Nothobranchius furzeri: one gene and its partners. The protein of the gene in region 2 purifies or fractionates together with the protein of the main gene of each other region. This does not show direct contact. Links are inferred from orthologs where the notes say so. Each region holds a gene or a part of one and is shown on either strand. Other genes may lie near its edges.

Region 1 (11,198 bases), on a different chromosome or scaffold from region 2:
AACGCTAATAGCGTAACGATGTGACAACATTCAGGTGAGATCTGGTTTATAAACAGGTGTTGAAAGCCCCGCCCACAATTAAACCGGTTTATTCAGACAGGAAACGTTACAAATCATCCAATTAACCGATCAGTCATCAGCACAGCGTTTCACATCAGTTTAGATCTGGTGTTTTTTTTTCTTTAGACAATTCAGACCTTTTAAAATGAGCTTTCTGCGTTATAAATATTTTTACCTGCCTTTGTAACAACCTAAGTTCGGAGAAACAGATTTTGCTCCAAATAGAAGCAAACAAGATTTTATTTAAATTCTATATCATTTGGTAATTTACAGGAAAACTTCAGTAGCAGCAGTGCTTCTTGTACAAAATGCCCATTTGTGGCCAGAATAATCATATATTCCAAAAAATAATCAAATCAAAGCCGTGTTAGTTTATAAAACAATTTCCTGTAAATTGCTTTAAAATTGGACTTATTTTTAGATGTGAAGTCAGTTTTAAAAAGTCATGGATAACACAGAAACCCACTAAAGAAGTCTAAACCACCCCTGCTGTATTTTTTCAGACCACATGAGTTTTATCAGCCTGTTATACATGAAACAGAAAACAGTACAAAAAAAATAAAACTTCTGCATTTGAGTCCTTATTCATTCCAAACCATGCAAACAATGACCAAAAACATGCCTTTGTTTTATTCTCTGGAATAAAAGCATTTTAAATCGAGGTGAAATCCGATGCAAGTGAATTTTTTAAGTTGGGAGTCAAATCTTGCCATTCACATCCTGAGAGCAGTTTAAGGCAGAGAGGGTGTTAGCTGTGAAATAACCTTTTAATTTTATTCTCCGTGCAGCTTAAAGGAAGTTCTGTTTAATTAGAAGCACTGTGAGGTCCAAACAGAACCAAATTCCCAAATATATCAGCTTCAGGTGGCTCTTTTCTTTATTCTAAAGAATATTCTTCAAAATATATTTATTTATTTATTAGATCAAACTGTTAGTATGCTTGTGTTCTCTCATCCATCACTTAACAATGAAACAAAAATATAATCTGTATCATACAAGGATGCTGGTATGAGTATTTGGTATTGCATTGCAGTTGTAAATACCGGTAGGACCATCATTGGGTTAATTAACACCTGTAGCAAAACAACATACAACTAACATACGGTGTGTGTGGAAAGCACACCCAGGGGCATAGTGTTCACACATATGATGCAAAGAATTTTTTTGGGAACAGTAAGTTGAATAAAAGGCAGGAAAATAAATACTGCAAACGGTGTGAAAGAAACAGAACCAGAGGCTCATAATATGAAGAATGCTGCAGGAACGTAAGCAAGAAGCTGAAGGCAGAAATGAGGATGCATGTTTGTTATTGTTGTTGCTGTTGGGAGCATTAGGGGAAACTGGGAGGCGAGTCAGCGGAGGTCACTCTCGTCGTCCTGTATGGTCTTCTTGATGCGTAGAAGCATGGTGGTGAGCCACTGGTCCAACCGAGAAATGGTGTCGAACTCCTTCACCTGTAAACATCCACAAAAATCTTCTAACTCAGAAAAGTCTTGTTTACTTGCATGAAAAAAAAACCTGTCCAACACCAGGAAGCAGAAACTTCCACTCCACTTATTTACGCATCGGTTGTTGGTTGCTACAGAACCGCAGAACACCTGTCTGACATAAATCAAAAGTTTGATGAAACCAAATTTTTGTAAATCTTAAAGATCTCGGAATGGTGGGATTGTTAATCTGCACTGATGAGTTTATTTTTGTAGAACAGTTTTTTTAACCCTTTCATTTGGCACTACGTTTTACTTCTGCTGTAAAAATCAACAGGAAATAACTTTTGCACTCACTGAATCGGTATAGGCCTCCACGTTCTGCTCTTCGTACGCGTCCAACAGTTTCTGGTTTTTAGAGAAAAACAAAAGATGTATTTTAAAACGCAAGGCTGCAACAAAAGGACCGATCACATACAAACATAAAGGTACACACACAATACAGTGGTGCCTTTAAACGAAAACAGTTCTTACTGAAAACTACCAAAAAATCTGAGTAAAAAGAAGCAGAAAACCTGTGAAAAGTATCACACAAATCAAGATAATTTCTCTGTAGAGAACAAAAGTACATGCAGTTTCCAAAAACAAACAATGCATTATTGATAATCCTGCACTTCCCCATCGGGCAAACACCCTCTGGCTAATGTAAGAGCCCCTGCCCCCACACACATCTGAATAACAGTTGGTGGTCCCACCCATAAGTTTCAAATGGAAAACCTCAATTAGAAATACGCGAAATTCTTTTTTGCCATTTCCAAATAAAATACAGCAATCTCTTTTATTGGGTCTGTGATGTTTGTAAGATCTCTGGACTCAGGAATTAAGAGGTACTTTTCATTTTTAAGGCCACAGGGATCCCAAATGACGATTCTACTGACAAGAACTCCACAAACCTTCAGCAGCTTGCACTCTCTGGAGTCTGAAAAGGCTGGAAACATTTCCTCATACTTCTGCACAGCAAGCTGGGCGACAGCAGGATGAATATCAAAACATGATCTCATGTCACATCAGCTCAACGCCAGACGCACTCTAATGTGTACCTTTGCGTTCAGCATGTCTACGCAGAAGTGACACAGCGCCGCCTTGAAGAAGTGATCCTTGGCGCTGTACTTCAGAAGTGTGCTGTCCATTGCATAGGTGCCAACCTAAAACGCAAAACCTGTCAGAGATTGTTGTGTAACTGGAGCCTCTGGGGCAACAGGTGGTTTAAAAATCATCATCTCACCTGCTCATAGATCTCTATAGCCTTTGGGTACTGTTCCAGCTGAGCTGCATATGTCGCTACTTTCAGAAGGCACTTGTTGGCTGAACTGATATAAAAGAGAAATAAATAAATAAACCAAGGTGTGAAATTTAAATTATAGTATCAACATTTGCTAAATCTTTATACATTTTTGTTTCAGGTCTATTTAAAGGGATACTAGGCAACTTTTTGGTATTTTTAAATAATTTTCTTGAGTCATTATTTGCTAAAATGACCCTTAACAGGGTTAATGAAATGTCACTCAGACCCCCACCGTCCTCTGTGGTCAGAATACCGCATTTGCAACTTCAGAGTGCCAGTCCGGGGGGAAAAGGTGAGCCGACATACCTGATGCTGCAGTCTGGTTCTAGCATGCTTCCTGCATGTTTTAGATCATGAACACAGCTAAACTGTTTAGTTTATTGATGAATTTTGTGTCCTGTAGACACTAATGAAGGCTGGGGAGACATTTCAGCTGTTAGATCAAGGTGTTAAAAAGAAAAACGCACAGCAAGTAGATAGGTTTTGTTTTTGTTTCTACTAATTGGGCACTAGGGGGTGCTAAAAGCAAGCCAAAACTGCCTAGTCTCCCTTTAAACCCAAAAGTGGACAGAAGTATTGCTCAGATGTGTTACGTCAAATATTTACCTGGTGGATTCTTCGCCTTTGTAATAATCTGCTGCTTGTTCATAATGAGCAACAGCCTGAAACACCACCACCCCCGAAAAAAAAAAATTCAAATGACCATGTAAACATTTGATCAAATATAAACAACGTGATAACCATCAGCTGTGTCTCTGACCTTGTCGATGTCCACCAACTCCGTCTCATAAATCTCAGCGATGGTGATGTGGTGTTTAGCAGCGATGGTGAAACGACCCTAAAATTACACAGGAGCAAGGACGAAACAAAATTAAAAACACAAATCAATAAAACTATAATAGCTTAGGAGGGGGATTTGTATTAAAAACCTCACCATATCCGTGTATATTTCAATAGCTCGGTTTAGGCAGTTTATGGCCTCTGTTGAGAGAAAAACATCAGTTCAGTGAATGACAAGAAATAAGTAAAAGGAAATTTCTTTCCACTGCAGAAAACAGACTTTAGACAAAGTTCACTCATTTTCTCAATACATCTGCAGTGATCTCTAGAATGCATGAATGGCTTGTGAAACAACATCTCATGCTCCTGTTTCAGGAAGCAGAAGTGAGCAGAATTCCTGATGTTCGGACATCTCACCTCTGATTGACTAACATTAACACAACTCTACCACTGACTGTTCTGCAACACTGATATGTTATCTCCTCAAATAACACAAGCCTAAAGGAGTTCTGCTATGTTGTGGAGTTGCTCATGCTAACAGTTAGTGTCTACTAGCTCTGCTCTTTTCTGGGTGCTAAACCAACAACAGCCTTCCCCCGTCGTGAGCCAAGATGGGCGAGTCCATGAATGTTAATTCACAGCTTGATGTAGAGCTGACTGTACTTTCTAACTCAAACATTTCCCCATCTATTTTCTATGGGCGACTAATGCAGGAAATATGGGTAGAAGACTTTTTTCACGTTCAGCCTGTACACAAAACTCAGAGCTTCCAATCATATTTACATAATAATAAGTAAAAAAAAGTTTCTCAGTGAACTTGGTCTTTAAATGCACTTCTGTAGGAAACATTTACCCTAAACATCAGAATCAGGCTTACCCAGAAACTTCTGCACAGGTTGAGGAGTTTAACATTTCTGACTGCTCAAGAATTCCTGGTATTTGTCTTTGACGTTTCATCTTACTTATATCACATTTAGTTTTGAGTTGTGCCACCTGCACAGGCACAAATAAACTGCTGCAAACAGGCATTGATGTTGTTCAAAATCTGCATGTATAAAAACTACCCTTAGTTTTAAAAATAAAGAGTCTCGATCAGGGGTAAGTCTATAGAAGACAGCTAAATTTCAGACACACAAGATGCTTGGAACTAAGCTAGTATGGGGTAAACTAAAGACTGTAGATAAGTGTACACAGTCATGGGATCAAACTTGCTGCCAAACCAGGTATTAATTAGATTGGCTGCACTTTATATGAAGTTAATTTTAAAAAGTCCAAAAATGTATTTCCTTCCAGATTTTAAAACCTTTTACAAAGAGCTCCATGTAAAATTGAGTGACCTCTTACCTTGTGGATCTGCTTTTTTGAAGGCATTTCCAGCATCTATGAGATTAGTTGCTGCATCGTGTTTACTCTGCATTTGCAGGTGAAGATGAGCAGCCTGAGCAAACGCATTTCCTGCAGCTGAAAAGAAAACACAAATTAAAAGATAAAACATATCAACAGATATGCACAAGGAAGGGAAAGTAACTGTCCTCTTACCACACCAGTTTTTGGCCATTTTGTACATGTTGGCTGCCCTCACATACAGATCACAGGCCTCTTCCAGCTTGGAGGAGCTCCTGTGTGAAAGAAAAAACGTGTAAAAAAACAACAACTATAAGATACTGGTTATTAGCAGGTTAGGATCGTGTAAATGCAATAAACAAGACTGGATAATAAGTAATTACTTTTCAAAATAAAAATAGTAGATAGTATTTCATCTGTTGAGATTGTTGTCCAATAATGACAATATTTCCGCACCAACATTTTTATGGCAAAAGGCAAATATCAATAAATAATTTTCATTAGATTTGATACAACTTTGAGGTTTCTACTGTAAACATTGTGACGATTTGCACAATACGGAACAGCCAGCAGATGGTGCTACAGCAGAGCTAATGTGATCACACTTTTTAAAAAAATATTTTTTTACAGTCATACTTAAATAAAAACGAATTTAGTATTCTGTTATCGTCCATGTCAAACAACGGTTTGTTCAGTGTAATTTTTCTCAGTTTACTGGGATAAACGGCTACGTGTTAGTCTTTGTTGTTTGCAGACGTTATGGTCAGCAGAAATCCGGGGAAATAACCTTACGTCCGTAGACAAATACTCTCAATACCACAACATCTTAACAGCAGCTCCAGTCCTGTTGTGCCCAGCCATCAGCCCTGGTGTTAGGTGGTCACCTTCCGCATAGCTGGCCCTCAGCTTGAAAGCAGAAGCTAAACATCAGCTAACTAAAACTCACCCAAACAGCGACCCGAAAAACGACTGAGATGATTTAACTTTCTTCTCCGCCTCCGCCATTAAAGCTGTAGCTTCTTTTTCTTTCCCACTGTTATCCATTCTGCTTTACTTGTTTTTCTGAATCTAAAGGGGGGCGAAAAAATACTAAAGTCAACAAAGTTGCTAAGTATTGCTAACAGCAGTGTCACATCAGCAGCCAGCGCTTTCTCTGTCACGTGACAATGGGAGGGCGGTCACAGCCCTGCTGCCTTCAGGTGCTGCTCGTACGGTCCAGAGTTGGTCCATTACAAATCTATAATGTTTCATGTTATAAACTGATTGTAGACCATGCTGCAACACAATATATCAATCGATAATTTAATTAAGAAACATGTTCGTTGTTAATATTTGCTGTAGAAACAAAGGAATCGCTTCTAATCTGTCTCAGGATCATTACAGTGCGTTCATGACAATCTATATAAAACAGTTCCCTTGTGTTATCTGTTTTCAACAGCCAATTATTTTTCTATAAGCAATCAGACATTAAAGGTGACAATATTTAAGCATAAATGTTGTAATAAAACGTAATAGCGTAAATATCTTCAAAAGTGCAGTTTTAAAGGAATATTGATTAGAATTATAATAAGAAAATGCTTTCCTTTAGTCAATGCCAGTTCCATTATAAAGAGACATTTTTAATCAAAATGGGTTAGCATCATAATGAAACTGTTTGTCAGCTGAAATCTTTACAATTTTAACATAAATAATAGATAACAACTATGTTAAGTGGTTTTCCAGGCTTTGCATTATAGCACAGTGAATTAAATGTGTGTAAAATATTTTGTTGAAAAATACATGACAAACATATTTTAGGGCTATGGGTTGTGGTAGGTAACTACATGAGTCAAACATTCAAATACCTTTTTAAAATTTACAAAAATAATCACGTATTTTAGAACTATACAAAAATTATTTAAAATATGGAAAAGGAATGTTTTCTTGTAGATTATGTTACAGTATTTTGCTTAGGCTTTTTGTAGATTAGTTTGTTCTTTTCTTAGCCAAAATCATATAATCTGATTGCAGTTCAAGACTGGGTTGCATTTATCTAACAAATCTGCTGGCATTTGTTAACATGACTGCTTTTATATTTTTTTACATTTGTGATCCAGTTTCTTTTATGATTTCATTTTAAGCAATTTCTCCCCACAGGCTTCCTCTGCTGTTCCTGCCTTTCTATTGATGTTTTTTGAGTTTTAAAAATGAAAACAAGTTAACATGAAGAATATGTCAAATTTAAGAATGCACTAATTAACACAACAAAAATGTTCAAAAACCGTTTAATGTTCCGAATGGGTATTTGTGTGTAAAGAAAGTCTCGATAAACAACATGGATTTCAATCAGGCAGAGCGGAAGTCTGCCGTTTCCTGCCAGTAGTTGGGTCCTGTTGAGCAGCCCGTGCGAGGCTGTCCTGGAGACCCCGCGCTGCCTGCACCTCTAACGTCTCGGGTGAGTTTGTTACAATGTAACAATTTCTCCATTAATCCCAATATCCGCTACAAAGCTGCGATATCTGCTAACTGTTCAGCAGACACGAACCGCACTGCTACCGCAAAAGAAGCGACACACTGCCGCATCACACCGTAAACAGGCTCGTTTTCCAACGAATTCCCAAGCATACCCCCTCTCATCCAAGAGTATTCCAACATTTACTGATATTCTGCTTGCAATTAGCAATAGCTCGCCACGTAGTTGCGTTTACGACTATAAGCAGACAGCATTTCTTCGTTTTAGCTCAACCGGACTGCCGCTGTGCGTAATTTGTGTTAAAATTGTGTCACTCTGGTTTGTTTTGAATGTCAAAGGCTCGAGCTAGCTATACGTCTGAATATTGTTGATAGCGGGGGTAGCTTGCTAGGCTAACGAAAGTCAACCCAAAAGCACCCAAATTGCTGAAATTACGGATGAAACTGTTTTAATTTCAAACATTTGAGTCGTAGGTCAGCTGTGTTGCTGTCAGATACTGTACGTTGGGGGAATTTGTTGAGGTATGCATGCAAAGCTCATTAAAAACATCAGCTAGCATCTAGCATTCCGTTTGCAGCGTCTCCATTCATATCCTGCGCACTGGTTTTCTGTAACCGAGCTGCGATCGGCGGACAGCTGGGACTCCTGCATCATGTCCACAATTTATTTGCATAGAAACTGTGTTGGTTTGGTTTTCGTGTTGTTGGACGAGCTGTGCACGGTTAAAAGTCAGCGACAGCTTACGCTCAAAATCTTTCCAGGCGGTGCGAAAACCGCGCGTTTTCAGTTTGTTGTCTGCTGTTTGATCGTGTTCAGAAATTTTAAGTTTTGTTACGTGTCTCGATGAGTTCAGGGCCGCACCAAGGTTGTTTGATACCGAGCGTACATGGGGAAAAATCTCGCTTTGTAATTGATATTGATAATCAAACGCTAGGTTAGACAGTTTTCGTTTTTTAGGAACTCAGAATTACTTTCTATGTTGATTCATAGTTTTTAATATAAACTAAATGCCTGATAGCATTGAGTGGTCTTTAAGATTTTTTTCCAAAGAAAAAATTTGTGTATAAAGTATATGAATACATTTTTTCATTGTTTTGAACGTTTCTTGCTGTCAAACATTTATTCATAAGTCAGAAAGAGTTTGTTGCTGGCCTATGGAGACTTCTCATAGCTTTTTACCATCAGGGAGGAAATAAAAAAACCTATGTCTAAAGGGAAAGACTCACTTCCACTAAAGAACTCTTTCTTCAAAAGAAGACACAGATGATTACTGAATAATTACCCGGATGTTTTTGGGGTGTGTGCCATGCCATCTCTTACTGCAAAAAACTGCCACTTAACAATATTTGTAATTATTCGCTTGGATTGTTTAAATGCCTGTATCGGTGGCTCAAGACTTTTTGAAAGTCAGTCTTTATCTTGCATCTACATGTCTTTAATGGCTCGAGTTTTGCTGGAGTAAATATGAAAATGTCGTTTAAAATTTAGTCAGCATGTGGTTTGAGAAAGTCAAGAATAATTATGAAGTTAAACCTAAGACAAACCCCATGTAATTCTTAATAACCATGTTATACAAAATGTAACTGAGTATTTTGGTTGTGATTGTTGAACAAGTCATGACCGAGCTTGAAGGTGTTTTTCATCTCAACAGTTGTCATGGATGATGAAGACGGCAGGTGCCTTCTAGATGTAATTTGGTAAGTATGTTCTGACAGCGTGAAAGACCTGATTCTAGTATTGTAGGAAATTTTATATCAGATTGTTCGGTTATGTGTCATTGTGTCACACATCTGTTGTTTTCTCCATCAGCGACCCAGAAGCTCTTAATGACTTTCTTCATGGATCTGAGACCCATGTAAGTATGAGAAGGGCTAACAAATGGCCGCATTTAGCAAAGCTTCACGATACAAGTTCTCCACTGATGAGTGACTTGTTCAGGTTTTATCTTTGTTGCTTTTGCATCTCTAATAAAATCAGTTTCGGCTCACAAGTTGATACACCCTGTAACCTGCATCCCTCACTGCTCTCATTAAACTTTTTATAACTCCTCTGCCTAATGGTTGCATTTGGGTTGCCAGAACAATAATTCCTATTACTAACGTTTCCCAACTCTTGAGTTATTCCTGTCATTTTGTTCCTCTGTAGCTTATCTCTTTACTGATGCTTTACGTTCTGGGTTCTCTGAACCATGTTCTGCCCTTGCCTTGCCCTCCCTCTGTTTTGATGGTCTGTATGTTTGTCCTGGTGACTTTTTTGCCTGCTGGTTTGGGTGTCTTTGGTTTCTGTCTGTCTTACCCTTGGTGGGTGTGTCTGTAGTTGGACACTGACGACCTTTTGGATGGTTCGAGTGACCCCTCCAGCTCGTTCTTCTCTGCCACTGGGGTGAGTAAAGCCCCCCACTTTTTTTTCCTGCTGTTGTCCATCCATCTTTGTTGCATGCTTCCCTAAATCCCTCCCTTTTCCACTAACAGATCTACAGTCAACATGCTATAATTCGCTGCAATTGTACGAGATGTTTTATTGGGCTTTTGTTTTTGTTTCCAATCAGTCATGTTCCTCGCTATCATGTCTGGTTTCACTTTTTCTTTTTTAAAGGGACATGTTCCAGAGGTCCAGCCTGCAGTCCAGCTGTCGGCCAGCGAATCAGCAGGCCTGCCGAGAGTCAGCGTTGACCTGGACTTCCTTGAGGATGATGACATCTTGGGTGGATCTCCAGGTGGAGAAGGTGGTAGCAATGGCATTGGGACAAATCACGAGACATGCGACATCTTGCAGCAGAGTTTGGCTGAGGCCAACATCACAGAGCAAAGCCTGCAGGAGGCAGGTGCCGAGCTGGACCTGGATACCTTTGGAATTCCAGGCCTTGCACAGGTGGTTCAGGCACTGCCTGATGCCAGCCTCGCTGGAGCTGGAGGCACACCTGTTGGTGTAGGCATTGGCGTCGGTGGAGCTGCGACGATTTTTCCCGGGTCTGCCCCGAGCACCACGGCTACTCCCCCCAACGCCACAGCTGACATGCTTGGTTCAGTGCTCGCTCAGCAGGGCCTTCAGCTCCAGTCCCAGGTTATGAACAAAGCTATTAGCGTTCAGCCATTTATGCAGCCTGTGGGCCTGGGAAACGTGACTCTTCAGCCCATTTCAAGTCTCCAGGCTCTCTCCAACGGGAGTCAGTCGGGACATTTGGGTATCGGACAGATTCAGGTTGTGGGCCAGCCTACCGTGATGACTATCAATCAGTCTGGGCAGCCAGTCTTGGCTAAAGCCATGAGTGGATACCAGCTGCACCAGTCAGGTTCGGAGGTATCAGCTGCTGGTTCTCAGGCAGGACTTGGAGCCTCGGGAGGTGGACTTCTAATCCAAGGCAACAAAGCGACTTTGGGATCTCCAGCTTTAAATGGACCGGCTGTTTGTGTCAGCAGCACAAGCAGCAGCGGTAGTGGTACCATTACCGCTCCCGCTGGGCTTGTCGGCTTTGGAAGTACCCCTCTGAGTGCAGGGGTGGCACCACAAACGCAAAATCCGGGCCAGATCATGCAGAACGTGATCATCCAGCGTACACCAACACCCATTCAGCCCAAACCCGCACAGGGGGGAGCCATTCATAGTAAACTCTTCAAACCACAACAACAGTCGCAGCCCCAACAAGCAGCTCCCCAGGCCATGCAAAATGATGCCCATAAGGCTCTTGGGCTTCAACAAATTCCAGTTTCTGCTGCTCAGAATGTGGCCTTCCTAACAGGAAAACCAGGTTCTAATGTTGTGTTGAGCACTCGGGCTGCAACACAGGGCC
Region 2 (11,279 bases):
TCGTATAAATAACTTATGAAATACTTTTCCAATAGTTCAGTCCACACTCATACCCAGCTGCAGGTTTTACCCTACAGTATATCCTCAATAACACAAGGAAAACATTATTTGAACAGTCTTAAGAACCAGGCTGAGGTAGCAAACTCAAAGTGCAACATTAAAAGTGCAAAACATTAAAAAATTAATAATCTTTCAGTTAAGTCCTGTTTAAATTTTTCTGAATGAACTTCGACTCCTGCACACAGCATAGACATAGAAGAGTAGACGCTGCACCAACCGCTACTGCCTATGTTTGGCCGCATTTGCGGGTTCTACTTTTTATAAACTAACAGGATGTTTTAGCTAGGCTTTAGCTCTGGAAAAGCTCCGTGGAGATCTGGAGCTAGAACGGTGAAAGAACGCGTTCAAAAACCTGTTCACGCACGCCAGGACGAACGCACTCACTTTTACGTTCGTCAGGCAAAATACGAAAGAGTTCAGTTCACGTTTACGAAAAAACAAACAAATTCACGAACGATCGTTCAATGAACACATTCGGGCACAACACTGGTACCAGAACTGTTTTATGTTCAGATTATTTTAAGTCCAGGATTAAAGGTGCATTATGTAGAAGTGAAGTAAAAACTACATTCTGTGGCAAAATTTGGTTACTGCAACCACTTAAAACACCTCTGGAGCTTACTGCCATCCCTCATCAAATCACAACCATCGGCGCTGCAGTACTAGCTCGCAGGAGACACGACAACCCCACACTCACTGATAGTAAACAGTTGCGTCCCTCCTTCCTTTGTTTTGAAAGGAGAAAAACTGACAATCCCTGCAGGCAGCTGGATATGAAATATGTTCCAGTAAAATCTTCCTTCCAAAATGACTGAAACATCAGACTCTTTGGATTTTCTCACAGTAAAATTCTCACTACATTCTTACATAATGCACCTTTAAAATTAATACACTGTACATGAGAGGAAAGAGAGACAGCAAAACCTAGATTTCAGATTTACAGTTTAAACAAACGGATCTTACTTCATTATTTGTTTATTATCGTTACTTTTTTCATTGTATTATTGTGGTTTAAGCAATAACTTGCAAAAATATCATGGAAAACACTAAAAGACAATTAATGCTTAATCTAGATCTCCAACTGGGTGTGAAAAAATAACACACACACACACACACACACACACACACACACACACACACACACACACACACACATACATATACATACATATATATATATATATATATATATATATATATATATATATATGTATGTATATGTATGTGTGTGTGTGTGTGATATGTGTGTGTGTGTGTGTGTGTATTAGGGGCTGCATGACTTAATTTTTTTAAGTCGAGTCAAGTAATGAAAATCGAGTCGACTTTGACTAGTCGTTGATGACGTCACACACCTGAAGGGGTGGGGTGGGGGGTTTGCTGGAGTTTTTGACAATTAAAATTGCGCCCATATTTTCAAAGTTAAACACATTTCTTTTAACAGCGGTAGTTTCTGCTTCAGCCCTCTCCCCCTCCCCCTGCGCAGAGGCCGCAAACTCACTAATGCGCCTGCAGCCTCTCAGAGTTCCTGCTGCTCTAAACATTAAAATAAGTATTTCCTTTTCTGTTCCTTGTTGCAACCACAAGGTACAAAAACTAACTTGTTTTTATTTGACTTTTTCTGTCCTGTCTGTTTATTATCTTCCTGCATCTCCTCTCAGTCCTAAAGAAAAACTGCTACCTGGGTTCATATATATTCACCTTATGAGTTACCTTTGAACTGCAGTTCTAAAAGATCTACCGATCGCAAAAACAGCAGAGTGCTCGCCGGCCGCGTCAGTTAGGTGCGTCACCGGAGGACAAAACAGGTGATGTGCCCCGATCCACAGCAGCCAATCAGGCACAAATAAAAGACAGAAAACATAAAAGGAAATGTGGCGACATGAACGATCGCGTGTTAAATTTGTTTTTGAGGTGGCGACACCTAATTTGATAATGTTACTGTGGCCGTGCTCAGGACGCAGATGTCTGGAGCGAGTCAACGATCAGAGCTTTGCATGTGCAAGCTGGTTAAGGTTAGGATGGGGGTGAGGGGAAGGTTAAATTGCAAGAGGGTAAAGGTCACAATTTGGTTAAATGTCCGTTTTATCGCGGGTGTCAGTACCGACGCTCTGGCACAGCGCGTCGCCTCCGCCTCCCGACGCGCAGGGGCTCATCACCTGCTGTCTCGCTTATTATCACATGACAGTGACTAGTCGATGACAGGCATAAAAAGTCACTACAGAGCAGTGAAGTCGACTAGTTCATACAACCCCTAGTGTGTATACACACACACACATATACATATGTATATATATATATATACATACATATATATATATATATACATATATATATGTGTGTGTGTGTATATGTGTCTATTAAAACAATTGATAACTGTAAAAGAAATAAGAAAAAATGCTTATAAAATATATTGAAATTATTAAAAACTTGCTGATATTAGAGAAATTATACTTCAAATCCTAAATTTTTCATAAAAGTATGAAAAAATAGTTCATTTAAAATACTACTACTGCTAGTACTACTAATACTAATGATAATAATAATCTTACAAATATAACATTTTAATTCAAAACAAATTTTCTAAACAAATTTTTTTAAATGCTTTAATCTTAAAAGTTTATTACTAAATAAACTATAGTTAAATCCAGGGTTTACAGCTTGATTTCTGGTTGATCACCTGGTTGAGCAGCGGTGTGATGGCGTCGTCGCTTCGGTCGAGAATCAGCAGGAGAGGAGGAACTTCAGTCTTCCTGAAGTCGAACAGCTCATATTCCTTCGTTATGATTTGCTGGGAAGAGAATAAGCAGCAACATGCCAAACTAACATGATCTATCTTTAAAATTATTTAAAAGCATTAATAAATATACTTCAAGCTTCTACAATAAACAAAATTATAATCCATGAGATTGTTTTACACATAAATTGTGCTACATTCGTGTTTTTTAAAATCTACTTGTTTTAAAGAAAAAAAGCTGTTAAAATCTAAAGAATGAAGCACTAGGACCAAACATTTCCCTCTGAAATAAGGTTCAAATGCCACCGAGGTGAACTGCCTTGTTCCAGTTTCAAAGAAAACTCGCCCATAAGTCAATGACGACTACAGACCGGTTGCCCTGACATTCCACATCATGAAGGTCCTGGGGAGACTCCTGTTGGTCCACCTGAATAAGCGAACTAGAACAAACCAGGACCCGCTGCAGTTTGCTTATCGTCATGGAGTTGGAGTTGAAGATGCCATCATCCAGCTGCTTCAACCAACCCACTGTCATCTGGACAAAGCAGGCAGCACTGTGAGGGTCATGTTCTTTGATTTCTCCAGTGCATTTAACACAATCCAGCCTGATGTACTTTGCCAGAAACTCCAGAAGACACAGGTGGGGGCCTCAACTATCGCCTGGATTAAAGACTACCTGACAAACAGACCACAGTTTGTGAGGCTGAAGAACTGCACATCAAACCAGGCGATCAGTAACATTGGAGCACCACAGGGGACTGTACCCTCACCATTCCTTTTCACCCTGTACACCTCAGACTTCCAGTACAAATCAGAGACCTGTCATCTACAGAAATACTCAGATGACTCTGCAGTTGTCGGGTGTATCAGAGATGGACAGGAAGCTGAGTACAGAGAGCTGGTGGAGCGCTTTGTGGCATGGTGTGGAAACAATCACCTGACCTTGAACGTGAACAAAACAAAGGAGATGATTTTAGACTTCAGAAGAAACAGGGTGGAGTCAAACACTGTTTCCATCATGGGAGAAGAAGTGGAGGTGGTTGAGGAATACAAATACCTCAGAGTTCACCTGGACAACAGACTGGACTGGAGAAAGAACAGCGAAGCCGTTTACAAGAAGGGACACAGCAGACTGCACTTCTTGAGGACGCGTAGGTCCTTCAGTGTCTGTAGCAAGATGCTGCAGATCTTCTACAAGTCTGTTGTTGAGAGTGTAATCTCTTCAGCCATCGTCTGTTGGGGTAGTAGCATCAGAAGCAGGGACCTGAAAAGGCTCAACAGCCTAATAAAAAAGGCTGGTTCTGTTCTGGGGACGACTGTGGAACCGCTGGAGGAGATAATGCAAAGAAGGATTCTCCAGAGAATCAAGAAAATGATGGACAACCCTGAACATTCTCTTCACAAGACTGTCCGACAACGGAAGAGTGTCTTCAGTCAGAGGCTTCTTCAGTTTCACTGCAACACTGACCGCTACTGGAGATCCTTCCTGCCAACAGCCATTGTAATATACAACAACTCTTTGATGACTTCATTATTATTATTATTCTGAGCTACTACAGCAATCAATTTCCCTCGGGGATTAATAAAGTATTTTGAATTGAATTTGAATTGAAAAGCAAACGTTACAGGATGTGTGTTAGTGGGAGTGTTGTTGTCATGGAAACCTTGACGGTCTCTGCGAGACGTTTGGACATGTCTGAGGACAGCTGGTAGCGGATCATTGGACATTTCTTTAGAGCAAGCAGGACGGAGGTCAGACCCTGAGTGCAGCGAGACAACATGGTGGGTTCCCAGCTCCGCCCCTAAAACATACAAACAAACACACATAAGCTCAGACGCATCCAGATGTGCTGCACACCAGTCGACCTTCACATGCCACAAATGTTCCAGAAGAAGCTAAATCAACATGTCACCAGCTGAAAAAGGCCACAGATGTGGTGTGTGTCAAAATAAAATGAAAAATAGCAGGACTCAAGCTGCCTAAACTATGTTTATGTATTTAGCAGACGCTTTTGTCCAAAGCGACTTACAAGTGATAATCGGCATGTTGCCCTTGAGGCTAACAACAACAATAACATCAACAACTTGACATCAATCATGGAGAGGAGGGAACAAAGGAGTGGACAGTAGAAAGGGGGACAGGTGCAGGGAAGGTGCTAGTTTAGAAGATGCTCTCTGAAGAGCAACAAACTAAACATCACACTACTTCTGATAGTTTGCATTCTGCACAAAGTGCATTATGGTGCAGTTTTAATGATGCACTTGGATCTGGCAAATCCAGATCATGTAAACAAAACCCATTTACTTCAATCTAAAAGCGTAAAATCTTGGTGTAATCATGAGCAGAGACCTCCATTTCCATGAACGTATTAAATCGATAGTGAAGTCATCATTTTGTCATCTTAAAAACAGCTAAAGTCTGTGACTTTGTGTCCCATCAAGATCTTGAAAAACATACATTCCTTTATCTCCTGCAGGGTTGATTACTGTAATGCTCTTCTCATCAGATTCCTAAAAAGTCCATTAGACAGCTTCAGCTCATTTAGCTGCCAGCGTTCTAACCAGAACTAAGAAAAGGAGCTGCATGGTGGTGCAGTGGTTAGCACTGTTGCCTCGCAGCAGGAAGGTTGCAGGTTCGAAACTCAGCTGCGGCCTTTCTGCGTGGAGTTGCGTGTTCTCCCCATGCATGCGTGGGTTTCCTCCGGGTGCTACGGTTTCCCTCACAGATCACAACATGCCCTATAGGTTATAAATTGTAAGCTGCTTTGGATAAAAGTGTCTGCTAAATAAATAAACATAAACACAAAAGGGATCACTTTACACCAAGTCTCAGGACCGTGCATTAGCTTCCAGTTCAGTAGAGAATTGATTTCAAAGCAGTATGAATTCTGTACAAGTCATTAAATGGGCCGGGCCCTAGTCACATCTCTGAAAACTATGATGTATAATCCTGGTGGGTCCCTTCGATCTGCAGATCTCCATATCCTTCAGCTGTCAAGCACCTACTGCATCAGTGTGGATGAGGGCGTGCAGAGCATTTATTTATTTGTTTTTACTGTCAGGCAGAAAGTGTAAATCATCAGTAAACTTAGTTCCTCCATCTTTCTTACCCTGGCGACTCCCTGCAGGTTGAGGGAGAATAGGTGAGGATTCACGGCAATGAAGTCTCCATAAAACTCCTGCAGAAACACACACCCCCCCACACACATATTTACACACAAACATAAAAGCTCTTGGTGTTGTATCAACATTAACAAAACAGGAAGCTAGTTTGTTTAGCACCTGAAACTCACCTGGACTTCAGCCACCACCTCCTGTTCATCAGCTTCAGCCAGAGCCTTGATCTCACTCTTACTGATCACGTTACTAAAATCTGAATTAAAAACACAGCGGTCAGCTGGTTTGATCAAATAAAACACGAAACTAGACAGTTGACATCAATGTTACTGCAGTGACATACAGATGAAGTAGACACTGTATTTTGGCTTCCTTAGTTCCTGGATCAGGTGCTCCACATTCTCCTGCAGGAAACATAAATAAAATATGAATATTATCATCAATGTGACTTTTACACAGAAGTAAGCTGCAGATTTTAGTACCTTTGTGGGACGAAGGAAGCAAATGGCTTTGAGGTGTTTCATGCTGTCTCTGTTCTGAGAGTCAATGCGTTCAAACAGGTAAACCTCCTTCTGCAGGATCTCAGACTGGGTGTACACCACACTCACTATACTGGTCTGAATACACACATGGGAAATATTTACTTTCATTCTAACTGATTTGGTGCATTTCTTACAAATACAAAATATTAGTTAAGGAAGAATATTTTAAACATATACACTGATCAATACCGAACAAATGAACACCAGTAATCATTGATGGGGTTTTTTTTGTGCCGATCATCAAAAAACTCTGAGAAAATAAGAGTTTCAGCAGCGTATGGATTAGTATTTGACTCCAACTGCTTCTTGGCTTTTAACTTTAGCTGCTAAAATAAAACCAAAATGTTTTCTGTCATCTTTTAAAATTTTGATTTATTACTGATTACTAAAAAATGTCTTGTGTTATCTTTTCATTGCCTTAAAATCTGCAACTGGTGCATGAACCGTTTGATATTTGGGATCCAAAACTTGTAAAAACAAATAAGATATGGGTTCCTATGAAACGGTCAAAACAGTTACGAACACATAGCACAACTGTAACTACCACATGCAGCATTTCACTGTAACACACGCAGTATGAAGAAGTGCGACAAGGTGTTTTGTTCTACAAATAAATAAAAATAATCTATGTTTAACTTCCGGCGTCTCACCGTCTCCTTGTCCATGAGCAGAACCTTCATCCCAGGCCCGCTGTTCTCGATCATTTTAGAAATATACTGCTTCACCGCGAGCGTCAAGTTCATGATAGCAACGCAGTGACACAACTATAATAAAAACCAAACAACTCAAATGGCAAAATCAGCTGTAGAATATTTTCTAAACTCTGTCGAGAAGATTTTAGTCTGTATCCTTTCATCTACAGAGATGTATCTCTTGTGACAACACTTCTGCGAGCCTTTTCCGGGTTTCTGACGTATAAGCGTCGTATGTACGTACGTCACGTGACCACACGTTTCTCCTTTTTTTGCATTCATAAAATGTTTACAAATAGCTGAAAAGTTGAGTTTTAATGACAAACAGAAAATATAGTGATTTCAAAGTACATTTCTCATTCAAGTGGCAGTAATACAGTAATAATGGATTTTAATTAATCGTGGTAAAGTGTATGTGTTAAAATTGCAAGTCACATGCTAGCTCTTGCTAACAAGGTTTTAGATACTTATTGACAGTAGGAAGGCAGTTTAGGCAACAGTTTTATTCAGCTTCAAGTCAAGCAAGCCCAAATGACATTAAACAAGCAAAACTGATAAAGACATTTTATTTTCTTTTTTATCTCCTTTTTTTAAACTTGATTTTTTTAAAGCTAGCTGACCATCTGTTCACTAGTTATAACTAGCAGCTGACAAAATAGCTGGTATACTATTCCGTACTTTGTGAAAAGAATTTCTGCTTTGCTATTGTTGAAATAAACTGTCTGTGTCCATTTAAAATATACTAATTTTAATTAGTGCAATTTTGTGTTTTTTTTTTGCAATCCCTAAAGCTATTTGCTGAAGCTAATCTGAGTTAGCGTCGGTTAGCATCCACAGTAGTTCTCCTTCAAATAGTAGCTTGAAAATGTTCTGTCAGAATTGACATATCGCATTGAGGCTGCTTGTATTTTTTATTTATTAGCAAATGTACAGTGATAAGAAAGAAAATGCAGTTTCATTTTTATTCTTGTGTTTATTGTTCAGTAACTAAACTCTCAGGGCTGCTCCATCTCTGCGAGTTCATATCACTCCGCGCTAATATAGTGCCAATACAGAACAGTGGTAACAGTAGCGCGAATGCGGATTGCGGAGGGATACGGAAGCCCTCGCAGATGTGATTTTGTTGCATGGTGACCGCTCACATTGTGTTTAGGAAACATTTTCATTCTTTAGTTTTATAATTTCTAAGTTTTATGATTGGAATTTTAACGGAATCAACATCTACTTATCATACTTAAGGACAGGAGAAGGTAAGCGCACAAGAGACATTCTTTTTTAAACGTACATCGTGCAGAGTTTATAAAGTCAAAGATTTAGCTGCTAGGCTAGTTAACATGCTAGCACTGCAAGCTAATTTCCAAACTGGAAGAGGGGGAGGGAGGCGCTACGGGGACATGATCGTGCGTGCAGAAATACCTCTGTTAAAAAAAATTATAGCAGCTTTTTAAGTGCTTGTTTGGATAATTATGCAACAAGTAAGAGTTAAGTTAATAATTGTTAGCATTGATTATTTCTGTAATTGGGAGGTTTTACCTGTTCTAGAACTTTAGATTGCTAGCTTTGCATGCTAAGTGTTTTAGCTTAGTGGGTCAGTTAGAAGATCAATTCTTAAGTTTGGAGAACTTTAAAGACCCTGTGTAATTCCTGTTACGACCACAATGTATCAAATTGAAAACTAAATGTATAAAATATGACTGAAGTTTCACAGAATTCAAACAATAATAGCATTAAACTAGCGAGAACAGTCAAATTCAATGAAGATGATGGGTGTGAACTTTTGAAGATTATCTTTGCAGCAGCACCGAGTAGCGCCAGTTAATTTTGCAATGTTATATTAAAATGTGGGAATATACAGATTTATTAAGTTACATCTTTTTTCTTCAGTTAAATATTTATACGCGCTATAGTTAGCATTTAGTGCAAGATTTAACTTTTTTATAGAAAGTAATTTCTTATGGTTTTGTACTATTGACCTCAGAAAAATCATAGTTTTATGAAACATATACCAACTAATAAATAATTTAAGTTGGGATTTGGCTTTTTAAACCAATGAAATTATGAAAATGGATATTCATACCACATCCCCAGGGTGAAAACAGATTTTGCACAAGGTTATTTATCAAAAATTGACCAATAAAAGCCACAGCTGTACCTTTTTTCCATATAAGACTCATAGTTTGTTGTGTTATCCTAATATAAATATGCAGGAGTGATCTAAAAACTATGTTTAAACACTATTTATGTAATCTAATGGTATAATTTATATTTAAATAAAGTAGTTATTTTTATTTATTATTTTTGTGCAATTTAATTTTTTAACTTAAAAAAACCTGCCCCTTTTATTATTTTACACATGTCCCAGTTTATATGAACAGGAAAAATAATTAAGTGATTCCTTTAGGTCATGGTGTCACAGATTTGTAGGAAAGAATGACTTTTATTTACCATAATATTATTGCCTACTTGTTTCATGCTAACCTAGACAATACTTTTTATTTTCTTATCATTTAGAGAATGTAAACATCTCTCATAATTATTCACATCACTCAGCTTCTTACTCAGTTGTCTTTTTATTTAGCTCCTATTTGTTCCATCCTAAGGCTGCTAATATCTCCAATTTGTAATACTTTAAAATGTTATTACATAGTAGTTGCTATGAAAACTGTCATGATGTTATCTTTAGTGGTTTAGTACATTTTAATAGTAGTGATTTAAACCAGTTAATTATGTCTCTTAATATTTTTAGACACTTGTAGTCACAGAAAGCACATCAGCTTTACATCCTGCCTATAATTAACGTTCTGCATGCTTTTTGTTTTGTTTTGTTTTCTTGGCTGGTGTGGACTTGGTGAAAACGGAGGCAGAAGTAGAAGGTGGCCTTCTGATGGAGTGTGTTGAACAGGAACAGGAGGTCCCTGCTTCACCTGAGAGGCATGAAGCAATAATGGAGAAACCCAATATCGGTGAGAGTTCAGGGGTCACACGTGTGACAGAAGACCTAATCAGAAACAAACTGATGACCAAGATGTCAGTTGGATAAATGTTTGGGTTTAACTAATTATTATAGTTTTATAATCGTAATATAGAATTATAATGTTATATTTGGAGGCAGCTGAAAGAAGCTCTTGTTTATCTGTGTGCAGTGTTTTGGAATATCTTTGATCTGAAGGAGGAAGACACAGGTCCAAGCAAACTTCCAGAAGCCAGGATCATTCCCATCCCAAACCAGGAAATGACCAACGGCATGCCCCCCACATCCACCAAGACTGCTTTTGATTATGTAATTAATTATTTCAGTCTGTAACAACTTGCTCCACGTTTCTCTGGTAGATTTTAAACAGTCGTATGAACCCACCTGATGTTTTCAGTTCGCAGTTCCTACTTTGGGCTTCAAGGTCAACGGGCGACTGGCTTCCCTCAAACCTGGAGGTCAGTCTGCACTTCTTCAATGTGATGCACGTAGAAAAAGACATTAGGATTTTATTTTAGCCGTAAAAAATGAGGATTATATGTCTGAAAGCTTTTAACTGAACACACCCAAAAAGTGTCTGTAAAGGCCTCTGTGTGTCCTGCAGGTGACGTTGCACAGTTTAAGCTTCGTTGTAACCCTGGAGGTTCAGCTAGTGGCTTCACTACCATCCAGATCCCCGCCACCGTGACCCTCCACAGTTCTGAGGGCGTTTCCACCAAAGCGTTCCAGTCTGATGGTGCAACCTCCTTCATCAAGACTCCTAAATTTGTTCCCAAGCCAAGCCCTGAGCCCATCCCTGTGATCACAGGTGCTTACCACTGTCATCTTAAAGCTTAAAAAACATCAGATGCTTCTAAAACTAAACTAGACTGTCTCATTCAGGTGTGGTTTCGGGTGAAGCGGCCACGAAGGTTCTGAATGACCATTATGTGAACTTCAAATCTGGTTTTGTCTCCCCTGCTGAGGAATCAAAATCAAAGGAAGCTCAACCAAAACCAGAGACGAATTCTATTTCAGAAAAGAAGCTCATGGCTCCAGAAAAACTACTGCGGAAAGGTTTGATTTAACATCTGAATCTGCTTTGTAGACCGCCAGGGTCCGAAATTAACACTCGCCACTCGCCAAATGCGAGCAAATTGCTCCATTAGGTGAGTAAATTTTTT
Region 3 (9,435 bases), on a different chromosome or scaffold from region 2:
AACCTCTAAAATTGTTTCATTTCTGTTTCTTAATCTCTTTGTCTTTGCTCAACAGTGAAGTGTTAGAATCTGAAACTCAGGCCAAGATGCAGGCCTCCAACCCCGCCAACTTTGGCCCAAAGAAGTACTGTCTGAGGGAGTGCATCTGTGAAGTGGAGGGCCAAGTACCGTGTCCCAGCATCAAGCCACTGCCTAAGGAGATGACGGGAAAATATCGGGCTCGGATGGCAGAGGCACAGGAGTGAGAAGCTGGAGTTTTACTGGAAAATATTTTCTGTTTATTTTGCATTTCAACAACAGACTGTTATTCAGCTCCAGCCTAAAGCAGCAGAAGCCCACCGAACCCACGACCGGCTTCTGTAAATACCCAAACATACCCTCATTGCAGGAAAAACTGCTCAGATAAAAGACTCAAGTGCTCGTTGTTATCTTGGCCTCCCAACCTTTCTGGTCCTGATCCTACTGAGCATGTGCAAGACAGGCTGAAACATGGCTGATCCCTGCTGCCCACAGTAGTTAGCGACAACGGTCACCATATTTTATTAATGTTTTTTAATCAACACTGCGATGGAAATGTTTTGCGTTAATAAAATGGGTTTGTCTCTTTTGTTAAAAGCAGAGGTGTGAAATCAGCGTCTAACCGTTACAAAATTAAAAATGCTTAATCTTTACAGATGAAGAAACCAAACATGGTTTGAACAGAAGCATAAACATCCTGACAGAAAGCACAATAAACTGTTTTAGGGCACATTTAGCAGCTGGATGATGACTCCAGCTAGTGTTTATTTAGCGTGAGTCAGCTGATTAAAATAAGAGTCTGAACTGTTTGGATCTAACGGTTTATTTGATCAGGACAAGTATGTCCCTTTTCTGTACACAGCAGGATTTCAGGATTTTTACATATTTTACTCCTCAATTACAGCCGTCTGGTGTCCTGACAACAGTATCCACTGCCTAGTGTTTGCCGCTTAAACAAACTGAGCTGAACAGAAAAATGCATCACAAACAGGATTTTGACAGCGCAGATCCTCGCGAGTCCAGCCACCAACTCCCAGACGGAACAGACGAACACGGAAAACAGTTTTGTCACACTCGGCTTTTTGTGGAAACTCAAATGCAGTTTTCTTTGACTCGTGTCAGAGATGAAGTGCAATAAAAATCAGCTCAGGATACAAACACGGATACTGTTACTGAACAACATCTGGATTCAGTTTAACATTAATAAATGTACGGTGGCAGATTTTAACAGCTGTTATTGGGCAAATACTTGATCTCAGCTATTATATTTACATTTACTTATTAACAGCATTAGAAAACTTAAAATGACTATTCTACACTGAAATGACTCATTGCTGTAAGACGGACCTTTGATTTTAATTTCCTCTGACCAGCGGGATGCCAAAATGCTGAAATTAAAGTCGGCATATTGTTTTGATGAAAAAAGGAGACATTTTGTTCTTTACCCTGTTAGAACGGCTAGATTTTAATGCTGCAGCAATGGTAACATTTTGTTCACAGCTTTTATTAGAAAGCTAAATCATGTTCTGACCAATCAGAGACCAAAGACTTGTTCACCTTTGCACCGCTGTTACTATTGTGTGCATGTCTTCATGCCTGAACAAATGATCTGTTCAGAGCTTCGCACGAGTGCAGCGGTGGACTCCAGCTGGACACAGAAGTGTTTGGTGACTAAATCCAGCTAGTAAGTCTAATACTTATTTATTCACATGATTAAAGGGATTCCTGTTTTTATTGGGGTTTGTAAAATACAAGCAGTCTGCTCTAAGCACAAGCTGAGATGGATCAAAGGGCTGCTGTGTAAACATTTGCTTGAACCAATGAGATTTTTTTTAGTTTAGTGTTATTGTACACAGCAAAAACCCTTTTCTCCTTCTGAGCATTAATTATTTTGGTTTGGCCAACACAATGAAAATGTGCTATAACAACTCTACTGCAGCTAGTACACCAACAGCTCATAAACACTCCACACAGCCTCCCCAAACAAATAACTATCCCTTTAATCAGGCTGCCCGACTAGCCTTGCTTAGCAGGGTTGCTAGTTGTGTAAAGTGATTAGCCTTATGGGACTTGTTAAGTAGCAGGTGATCGGGGGCTAAAATGCATCAGTGCTTCTTCTTCTGTTCCTGTAAAGTGTGCAGCAGCTCTTTCAGATTCTTTGACAAGAGCTCGACCTCATCAAGACGGCCGCTCAGCTTGGCATCAAAGATGTAAGCTCTAATGTTGTTGATCTGCTGCAGCAGCAGTTCCTCCTCAATCATGTCCACGTCGGGCAAAACCTCATCCTCGTCCACATCGAAGGGGTTGGTCGACACCTCAGGAGAATTTCCAGAGGCCTCCATGAAGGGGTTACCGGCGTCGGTGTCATCCTCCTCAAAAGGGTTTGTGGGTACAGCCTCAACCTGCTGGTCCTCCACCGTGTCTGCATCTTCATCAAATGGGTTGTTTTCCTTCTTCCCGTTGGTTACTCCTTTGTATTCCCTCTGGATGTCCTCAAAGAAAGGATTAGATGGATCTTCCTCAATGGGAGTAGAGTCCTCCTCTTCAAATGGGTTAAGGGAGGTGTTGCTCTGGCCTTCACTGCTAGGGGGCGTTACATGGCCTCCTAAACTCCTTAATCTTGGAGGGGATTCCTCTTGGGTTGTAAGAGAGGAGCATGCCCTTACAGCTGATGGACTTCCATCGGCTTTACTAATCAGGACCCCTGTGGTGTCCTGCTCACCCTGGTAACCTGCTGCTGGGCTGATGTCCAGAGATGGACAGGTGGAGGACAGCTGGGTGCTGAACCTGGAGCCCCACTGCACTCTCTCCAGGGCCTCCAGACGCTGGAGCTCCTCCTGCTGTAAGCTCTCCTCCTTAGCCTGCTTCTTAGAAAGTTCAATAGCGAGACGGGTCTGTTGCTGGTCATACTCATCGTGCAGCTGCCGTAAGTTCTCTTCCAGCATGGCGACCTCGTCTGCTCTTTGGGCTTCACGCGCCTGATTAAGGAATGATTCAATGTTTGCAATCTGCTGGAGGAGGGGGTCTTCCAGGTCACTACCTACATGGACGGAGTCTGCAGAAGGTAACCAACCACCAGCTTTAGTCATGCGTGGTTCTCGAGGGGCCCGTAGCAGCTCCCCATTGGCTGGTGGACGGTTTTTCTCAGACTCCTGTCTCCTCTTTAGAGACTCCTGAGCTCCCTGCTGAGCAAGAGATAAAAGTCCAGATTTAGAAACGAGTTTGTCCAGCGAAAAAACATCAGACTGGAACTTATTCTCACCAGTCGCTCTAGCTGGAGCCTCCTTTCTTGCTCTTGCTTCCTCTTGTCTTTCAGCTCTTCGTACTTCTCTTTAGTGGGTAAAGACATCAGGCCCAGCAGCTTCTCCTAAAACAGAGAAGACACAAAAAAGGGAACAAAAGTTCTAATAATCCTCACTTCTACTACATGTGAGGCAGATCTTTCACAACCCCACAATAACTAGCAAAGACATCCAACCCACTTACCTAGCACTGAGCCGATTACAGGTAAAACTATCTAACTGATTTCAACTTAACAATGCCCCTTTGGTTAGAGAGCATCTGGGGGCATCCTGGAGGGTCTGACACATACCGGCGAAACTCCAAAAATTAGAATACGGTGCAAAAGTTAATTTATTTATTTAATAAGTGGGATAGACTCCTTACATGCAAATCCAGATATTTCAGCCTTTATTTGTTGTAACTATGGTGATAATGGAGTGCAGCTTATGAAAACTACACATTCAACATCTCAGATGATTAAAATAATGTGAAAAGTCAAAAAGAGTCAATATTCTAGACTCAGAGTGTCACACTCTAATCATCTAATGAATCCAAAATACATGCAAAGGGTTCCTGAGCCTTTAGATGGTCTTTCAGTCTAACTGGTCTTCCAGGCTGTACTGTGAGACCTCTTCAAATGGTCCAGAACGCAGTGGCATGTGTGGTCTTCAATCAGCCAAAAGAGCACACGTCACCCCTCTGTTCATTGAGCTCCACTGGCTACCGCTAGCAGCACGCATCAAATTCAAATTGCTAACACTAGCATACAAAGTCCGAGATGTACGGCTCCCATCTACCTGAATCCTCTTGCAAAGGCTTACGTCTCGGCCCGGCCGCTCCGGTCATCACAGGGTCGTCGGCTAGCAGTGCCTACACCACGCTCAGGACAATCCACTCTTCTCATGCATCGTTCCACAAATGTGGAATGACCTTCCAAGCACTACCAGAACAGGGGCTTCCTTTTCAATTTTCAAGAAACTCCTGAAGACCCTGCTCTTCAGAGAGCATCTTCTTAACTAGCACCTTGCCTGCACCCGTTCCCCCTCTCTACTGTCCACTCCTTTGTTCCCTACTCTCCATGACTGATGTCAATGTTGTTGTTGTTATTGTTGTTAGCCTCAAGGCAAAATGCCGATTATCACTTGTAAGTCGCTTTGGACAAAAGCGTCTGCTAAATACATAAACATAAGTTGGATTACTGACATAACTGGACTTTTGCTCCATTTTCCCAGATGGTAGCTACAAATCCATTGGGTTGGCAGATTGTATCAAACATATCAAACACATTTTGATAAACTTCTGAACTAAGCCACGATTCCCAGCTCTTACATGTCCTCTTTGGCTAAAACTTCAGTTTGGCTTTTTTGTGTTTAAGCCATCAACTGTCTTCACTTGGTCTCACCTGGACAAAGAGTGTTGCCATGTATCGTATCATCCTCTGAAGCTGGAGTGCTTTCGGGGGCGACGGTGGGTTGTTTTTAACTCCTAGTGTTAAAATCTTCTTGCTGGGGAAATTAAAACCAAAGATTTCTGTTGAACTCTTAAACTTAGACAGCTGTGTTTCACTTTGAAGTATTAGTGACAGCGTATGTGTACCTTAGAGCATCAATTAGTTCATAGTACTTCTGGACTTCCAGCCTCAGTCCACCTGCCGTGTCAAGATTGTAGGTGGTTTCTCCGGCACTTTGGCAGGAAGAAGTAAAACATTGTCAGATTAAAATGAAAACAAATGTGAAATGGTTACATCAATACTTTTTAATAGTGCCTACTTGAGAGACTCAGCCATTCGAATATACTCTGGAGCTTTTTCTTCCACCTTCTCCATGCACATCCTGAGTCTCTGGCAGGAAAGCCCAGAAAGTAAACAGGAAGTGGCAGGAAGGATACAGCAGTGTAAACAAAAAGAACAGAACTGTAGCTGAAGGGAAGTTTTCTGGGACTGTTAGACCAACCTCATAAAGTTTCACTACATCTGGAACGTGATCCTTCTCATCCAACTTCTGCTGTCTCTTCAGCAGCGTGTCCATGCAGTGGTGACAGCAGCGGATCTTCTCATCGTCCTTCTCCTCCAGAATAGAAGCAACGCTGCTCAAACTGCTGATGCTGCCCCTCCTGGAGCCCATTCCTGCTGGCTGATACTGAGTCTGGCTGGGACTTCCAGGAACACACAGGGCCTCTCGGGTCCCATTAATGAGCTTCTCTGATAAATAAAAACAAAAGAAGGAAATAGCAGCACTGAGCAACGAGCTTCTGCTCCTGCGTTTGGATTTCTTTGATTTCTAAGATGTTGATACATACGAGCCAAAGGTAGAGGGACGAACTCCATGCACCTTCTGCACATGATGGATCCACAAAGGCGACAGTGGTGGCGCCGGTTCCGGATGTTGAACTTGTTTCCACAGTCGGGACAGAAAGGGACGTCTGAGTCATTCACCCAGGGCACTACAGATTTCTCAATGGCTACAGAGAAAGTTAACACAATATGATTTGTGACATATTATAAAAAGCATCCACACGGTAAGATTTAACTGAGTTATAACAAAAAATATACAAACCTCTGATTTTAGCAGAGTCTGAGCTGGTTCTATCAAACGCTGTCAACTGAAACGTCAAATTTAAGGTTAATGGTTGTTTAAACTTATTTCAGGAGGAACATTGTGGTTCAAGCACACCTTTTCCAGTCTGATGATGAGCTTGTTGACTTCAATGACATAATGGTCTATCCGGGCTGCTCGGTGCTTCTTAAAAAACTCCAGGTGACTCCTTCTTGCTCCTATAAGAAAAATAAATAAATAAACACAATGTGTAAAAATAAAGTTTGTTCTTCCTGGCATTTACATCTGAATGATTTTACTAATAAAGTGTGATTGGATGTGAAAAGCCCAAACAAATAAAAGAGGATTTAAGTCCTGTTCACCCAGTTCCTGAGGTTCCCACATATATGGGTCCACTCCGCCGTAGTAGAAGGACTCATAACTGCCGGTGTCCGGTCTGTCATCTCCATCCCTCTTCAGCAGCTTATCTTTGGCTTTCTTTGCTTTCTGAACCAAACCTAAATACACACACACACACACACACACACACACACACACACACACACACACACACACACACACACACACACACACACACACACACACACACACAAACAAATGAAAAATCAGAGGGAATGTGTTAAACACAGGAACATGCACTGATTTTCTAAATCCTAAACACTAACCCAGCATGCATGTGGAACCTTTATGAACCAACGTTTATGCACAACTCACCTTGACCTGTAGATAAAACGTCATTCTGCTCATGTTCAGTAGTAACACCACTGCACACGTTACACTTAAACACTTCTGGTTTTTAAAGGCTGATTTCAATAAGAAAAGAAACCTATCCAACAACTAAAGGCATTGTCTAATTCACACAGAGGTAAGTGCTCTGCACTAATGGCAAATTGTGAAAAGTACAGAGGACAGTGGCGTGTCCAGATCTTTTAAAATGGGGTGGCCCAGGTGAGGCACAGCTTTGTGCATGGGTGGCACCAATGGTTATGCTTTCTTTGTTTTACCCCCAAGCCATTTGTGGACAATGAAAAGCCTATTTAAAGGTTAAATAGTGTGGTGGCACCTGGGGTGGCCAATCAGATTCCAAGGGTGGCATGTGCTACCCCAGGCCACTCCCTGGACACGCCCCTGACAGAGGGGATGAATGGAAACTTCAATTTTAGTCACACAAATATGAGAATAAAACAGGAACTTTGTCAAGTGAAAGCCAGAAACCAAATCCTCCAATGCAAGATCCAGCAGTAAGATGACGAGTGACTGACTGGAGCTTAGATTAGTTTTACATAAATATTACAAAGTAACGGTGAGTCAATTTACCTGATTCTTCTGAAAATAAGAAAAAACTATTTACTATCTTAGAACTGATCTTTGCAGTATGGTATTGTAGTTCAACTTTAAAAAGTAATTTAGCAGCTTTTTAATTATTTATGCAGCTGGACCCCTCCCAAAAACTATGCCAATAAATCCAAGGTGATTCATATCTAAAATTTTCATGGGTTACAAATGAACTATAATCTGATTATGACTGACACAGGTCAGGACTTACTTTTGAGCTGTCCTCGAACATGACCATCGTCCCCCGAGTGCTCATCATAGTGTCCTTGGAGTTGGTAGAATGACTGAAGGTCTTTAAAGCACAGAGGGCAAATAAAGCCCTCCTTTACTTCACCGGTGCCCTCTAAAGGAGGTGGGTAGCTGGAGGCCATGATGACAGAAGGATGTTCTGTTGTTCAGGAGGTGAGGTGGCATGATCCTCCTTGGGCCAACATGTCACAAGGTGTTCAAAGTAAATCTAATCGACTCCATAACAACTGTAGGGGAAAAACTACCTGATGAATATAGACACCGAATCAAACAGACTAAATACACAATAATTTCCAAGCATAACCTCAATTTATAGATTTAACTGCAATAAACTGTGTGATTTGGTGAGTATACCAAGTTAAACCAGATCCTGGGGTTAGAGTGAAATTTACAATAGAGATCCAATTTATTTGAGCACCTTTAGGTCACGACGGAACAGAAAATGTCCACTTTCTGCTCTGAAGAAAACTCATGCAGCTGCACAATGAAACATTAGCATTAATCTATATTTAATCAGGTTTCACCGGGACATAACCAGCTACGGTTAGCTTTAAGTCAAAACCACGTTATTAAGTTCATTTGTTAGCTCCTTACAGAAATGCAACACGTGGACTTCTGGCTATGTCTTGAGTGTTTCTATTAGCTTAATGTGTCAAATTTAATCACCGTTACATAAAGACAACAGGTTAGCTTAAGAATGCTAATCTCGTTTTCTTTAGCTATTGTTTCTCCAACCACACCGCTCAAAGCAAGAGGACAGAACAACGTCTGACCACGCATAAACAAACACTTACGCCCTTCATGAAATATTTCAATTTTAGGCCAAAATGTCTCCGAGAATTGCTGTTGTTGACAGTTTTTTCTTCTTGACAGCTAGACAACAGAAGCTGCAGCAGCCCCACCTGATCATGTGACCGGCCTTTCGTCGCTGCTAGTGGGAGCGAAAAGGGACAAACGTCAGAGAATAAACGCGAACTAACAATAAAATAATGGTTTCACTTCGCTAATTTTCTCTCATATTACACTTATCATTGAGTAATTTTAATTTATCTTAATATCACATTGAACGTCAACATAAAGCAGATTTCTTGGAGCATTTTCTTTTATCAAAACAATATTACCGAAATCAGTGACAACCGATCATTCAGTAGAAAATTGCTTTAATTATAAGATCTGCAGTTTTGCTGATTATTCATGTATTTTTTTGCACATCAGCATTGCCTTTTTATTTCTTTATAAATGCATTTGGATTAAAAAAATGTGAAAAGTTCGCCTATTCTGAAATGTGTGCAGGGTACACAGTTTCTAAAAGATTTGCAGAAGCCAACTTTTAAAATTACATTGAGGATGTTGTTTCAAACATGAAACACACAAATATAAACTCCGTGCAACTCTGGATTAACTAGATGGTCACGTTTACCTTAATTAAAAATGTGCATGAGCTTGTTGCAAGATTGTTCAAAATGCAGTGTTTTATATGGTTTGGGTAAAGACTGTCAAATAACACTTTTTAAAAACTTAATTTTTCTTATTTCACAAATTGTGTGTATTTTTTCTTCTTAAATCCTCCTAATGAAATCCGTCATGTTAGGCGTGACAGGAATTTTGTGGAGCACAAAGGTGGAAGAAAGGAGGTCTTGAGGGATCTGGCTCATTTGAGTTGAGCCCTCTGAAGAGCCCATCAGTGTCCGAGCTTCAGTAGGATGATGCCATAAATGTGTGGAAAGGATTTATTTCTTGTAAAGTTCAGAAATAATTTGAAATTAAACCATCTTGAAAGGGTAAAACAGATGATTATGATTTGCATTATTTAAGGGCTCATGTGAAAAATAGTGAGCAGTCAGTGTGTTTGAGAGGCATGCACTTTACTAAATAAACTATAAACAAATAATGCAACCCTAATATCGATGCATTTAAATCTATTAGGGCTATTTTCTTTTGTCATTTGCTCAGATTTTTGGACTTGTATGAGAAGTTGATCAAAACGGCATAATGC

Evidence for each region.
Region 1: the proteins of vps45 (region 2) and napab purify together in Homo sapiens (affinity purification with mass spectrometry; 3 studies listed by BioGRID and IntAct, with this or other methods). This does not show direct contact. The link is inferred for Nothobranchius furzeri from reciprocal best matches to the Homo sapiens genes VPS45 and NAPA.
Region 3: the proteins of vps45 (region 2) and rabenosyn-5 purify together in Homo sapiens (affinity purification with mass spectrometry; 4 studies listed by BioGRID and IntAct, counting the BioPlex papers as one, with this or other methods). This does not show direct contact. The link is inferred for Nothobranchius furzeri from reciprocal best matches to the Homo sapiens genes VPS45 and RBSN.

Annotation. Positions count from the first base shown.
Region 1 is NC_091753.1:46,786,821-46,798,018, reverse strand, and holds napab (N-ethylmaleimide-sensitive factor attachment protein, alpha b), read right to left. Parts: upstream 6,126-11,198; 5' UTR 6,001-6,125; coding exon 5,903-6,000; intron 5,232-5,902; coding exon 4,957-5,231; intron 3,814-4,956; coding exon 3,767-3,813; intron 3,671-3,766; coding exon 3,593-3,670; intron 3,495-3,592; coding exon 3,439-3,494; intron 2,858-3,438; coding exon 2,773-2,857; intron 2,693-2,772; coding exon 2,588-2,692; intron 2,510-2,587; coding exon 2,441-2,509; intron 1,896-2,440; coding exon 1,845-1,895; intron 1,515-1,844; coding exon 1,413-1,514; 3' UTR 847-1,412; downstream 1-846. Other genes in the region: bicra (BRD4-interacting chromatin-remodeling complex-associated protein), read left to right, coding at 9,065-9,105, 9,218-9,263, 9,725-9,790, 10,004-11,198. UniProt on the Homo sapiens protein: Required for vesicular transport between the endoplasmic reticulum and the Golgi apparatus. Together with GNA12 promotes CDH5 localization to plasma membrane.
Region 2 is NC_091759.1:9,672,007-9,683,285, reverse strand, and holds the start of vps45 (vacuolar protein sorting-associated protein 45), read right to left. Parts: upstream 7,344-11,279; 5' UTR 7,197-7,343; coding exon 7,104-7,196; intron 6,529-7,103; coding exon 6,394-6,528; intron 6,316-6,393; coding exon 6,255-6,315; intron 6,168-6,254; coding exon 6,088-6,167; intron 5,974-6,087; coding exon 5,905-5,973; intron 4,597-5,904; coding exon 4,459-4,596; intron 2,849-4,458; coding exon 2,738-2,848; intron 1-2,737. Other genes in the region: pogza (pogo transposable element with ZNF domain), read left to right, coding at 8,612-8,620, 10,006-10,108, 10,289-10,425, 10,514-10,574, 10,721-10,924, 10,999-11,172. UniProt on the Homo sapiens protein: May play a role in vesicle-mediated protein trafficking from the Golgi stack through the trans-Golgi network.
Region 3 is NC_091755.1:54,604,068-54,613,502, reverse strand, and holds rabenosyn-5, read right to left. Parts: upstream 8,375-9,435; 5' UTR 8,234-8,374; intron 7,667-8,233; 5' UTR 7,562-7,666; coding exon 7,402-7,561; intron 6,353-7,401; coding exon 6,218-6,352; intron 6,074-6,217; coding exon 5,973-6,073; intron 5,902-5,972; coding exon 5,856-5,901; intron 5,761-5,855; coding exon 5,599-5,760; intron 5,501-5,598; coding exon 5,253-5,500; intron 5,141-5,252; coding exon 5,070-5,140; intron 4,984-5,069; coding exon 4,897-4,983; intron 4,806-4,896; coding exon 4,703-4,805; intron 3,386-4,702; coding exon 3,281-3,385; intron 3,204-3,280; coding exon 2,124-3,203; 3' UTR 1,354-2,123; downstream 1-1,353. Other genes in the region: mrps25 (small ribosomal subunit protein mS25), read left to right, coding at 56-245. UniProt on the Homo sapiens protein: Rab4/Rab5 effector protein acting in early endocytic membrane fusion and membrane trafficking of recycling endosomes. Required for endosome fusion either homotypically or with clathrin coated vesicles.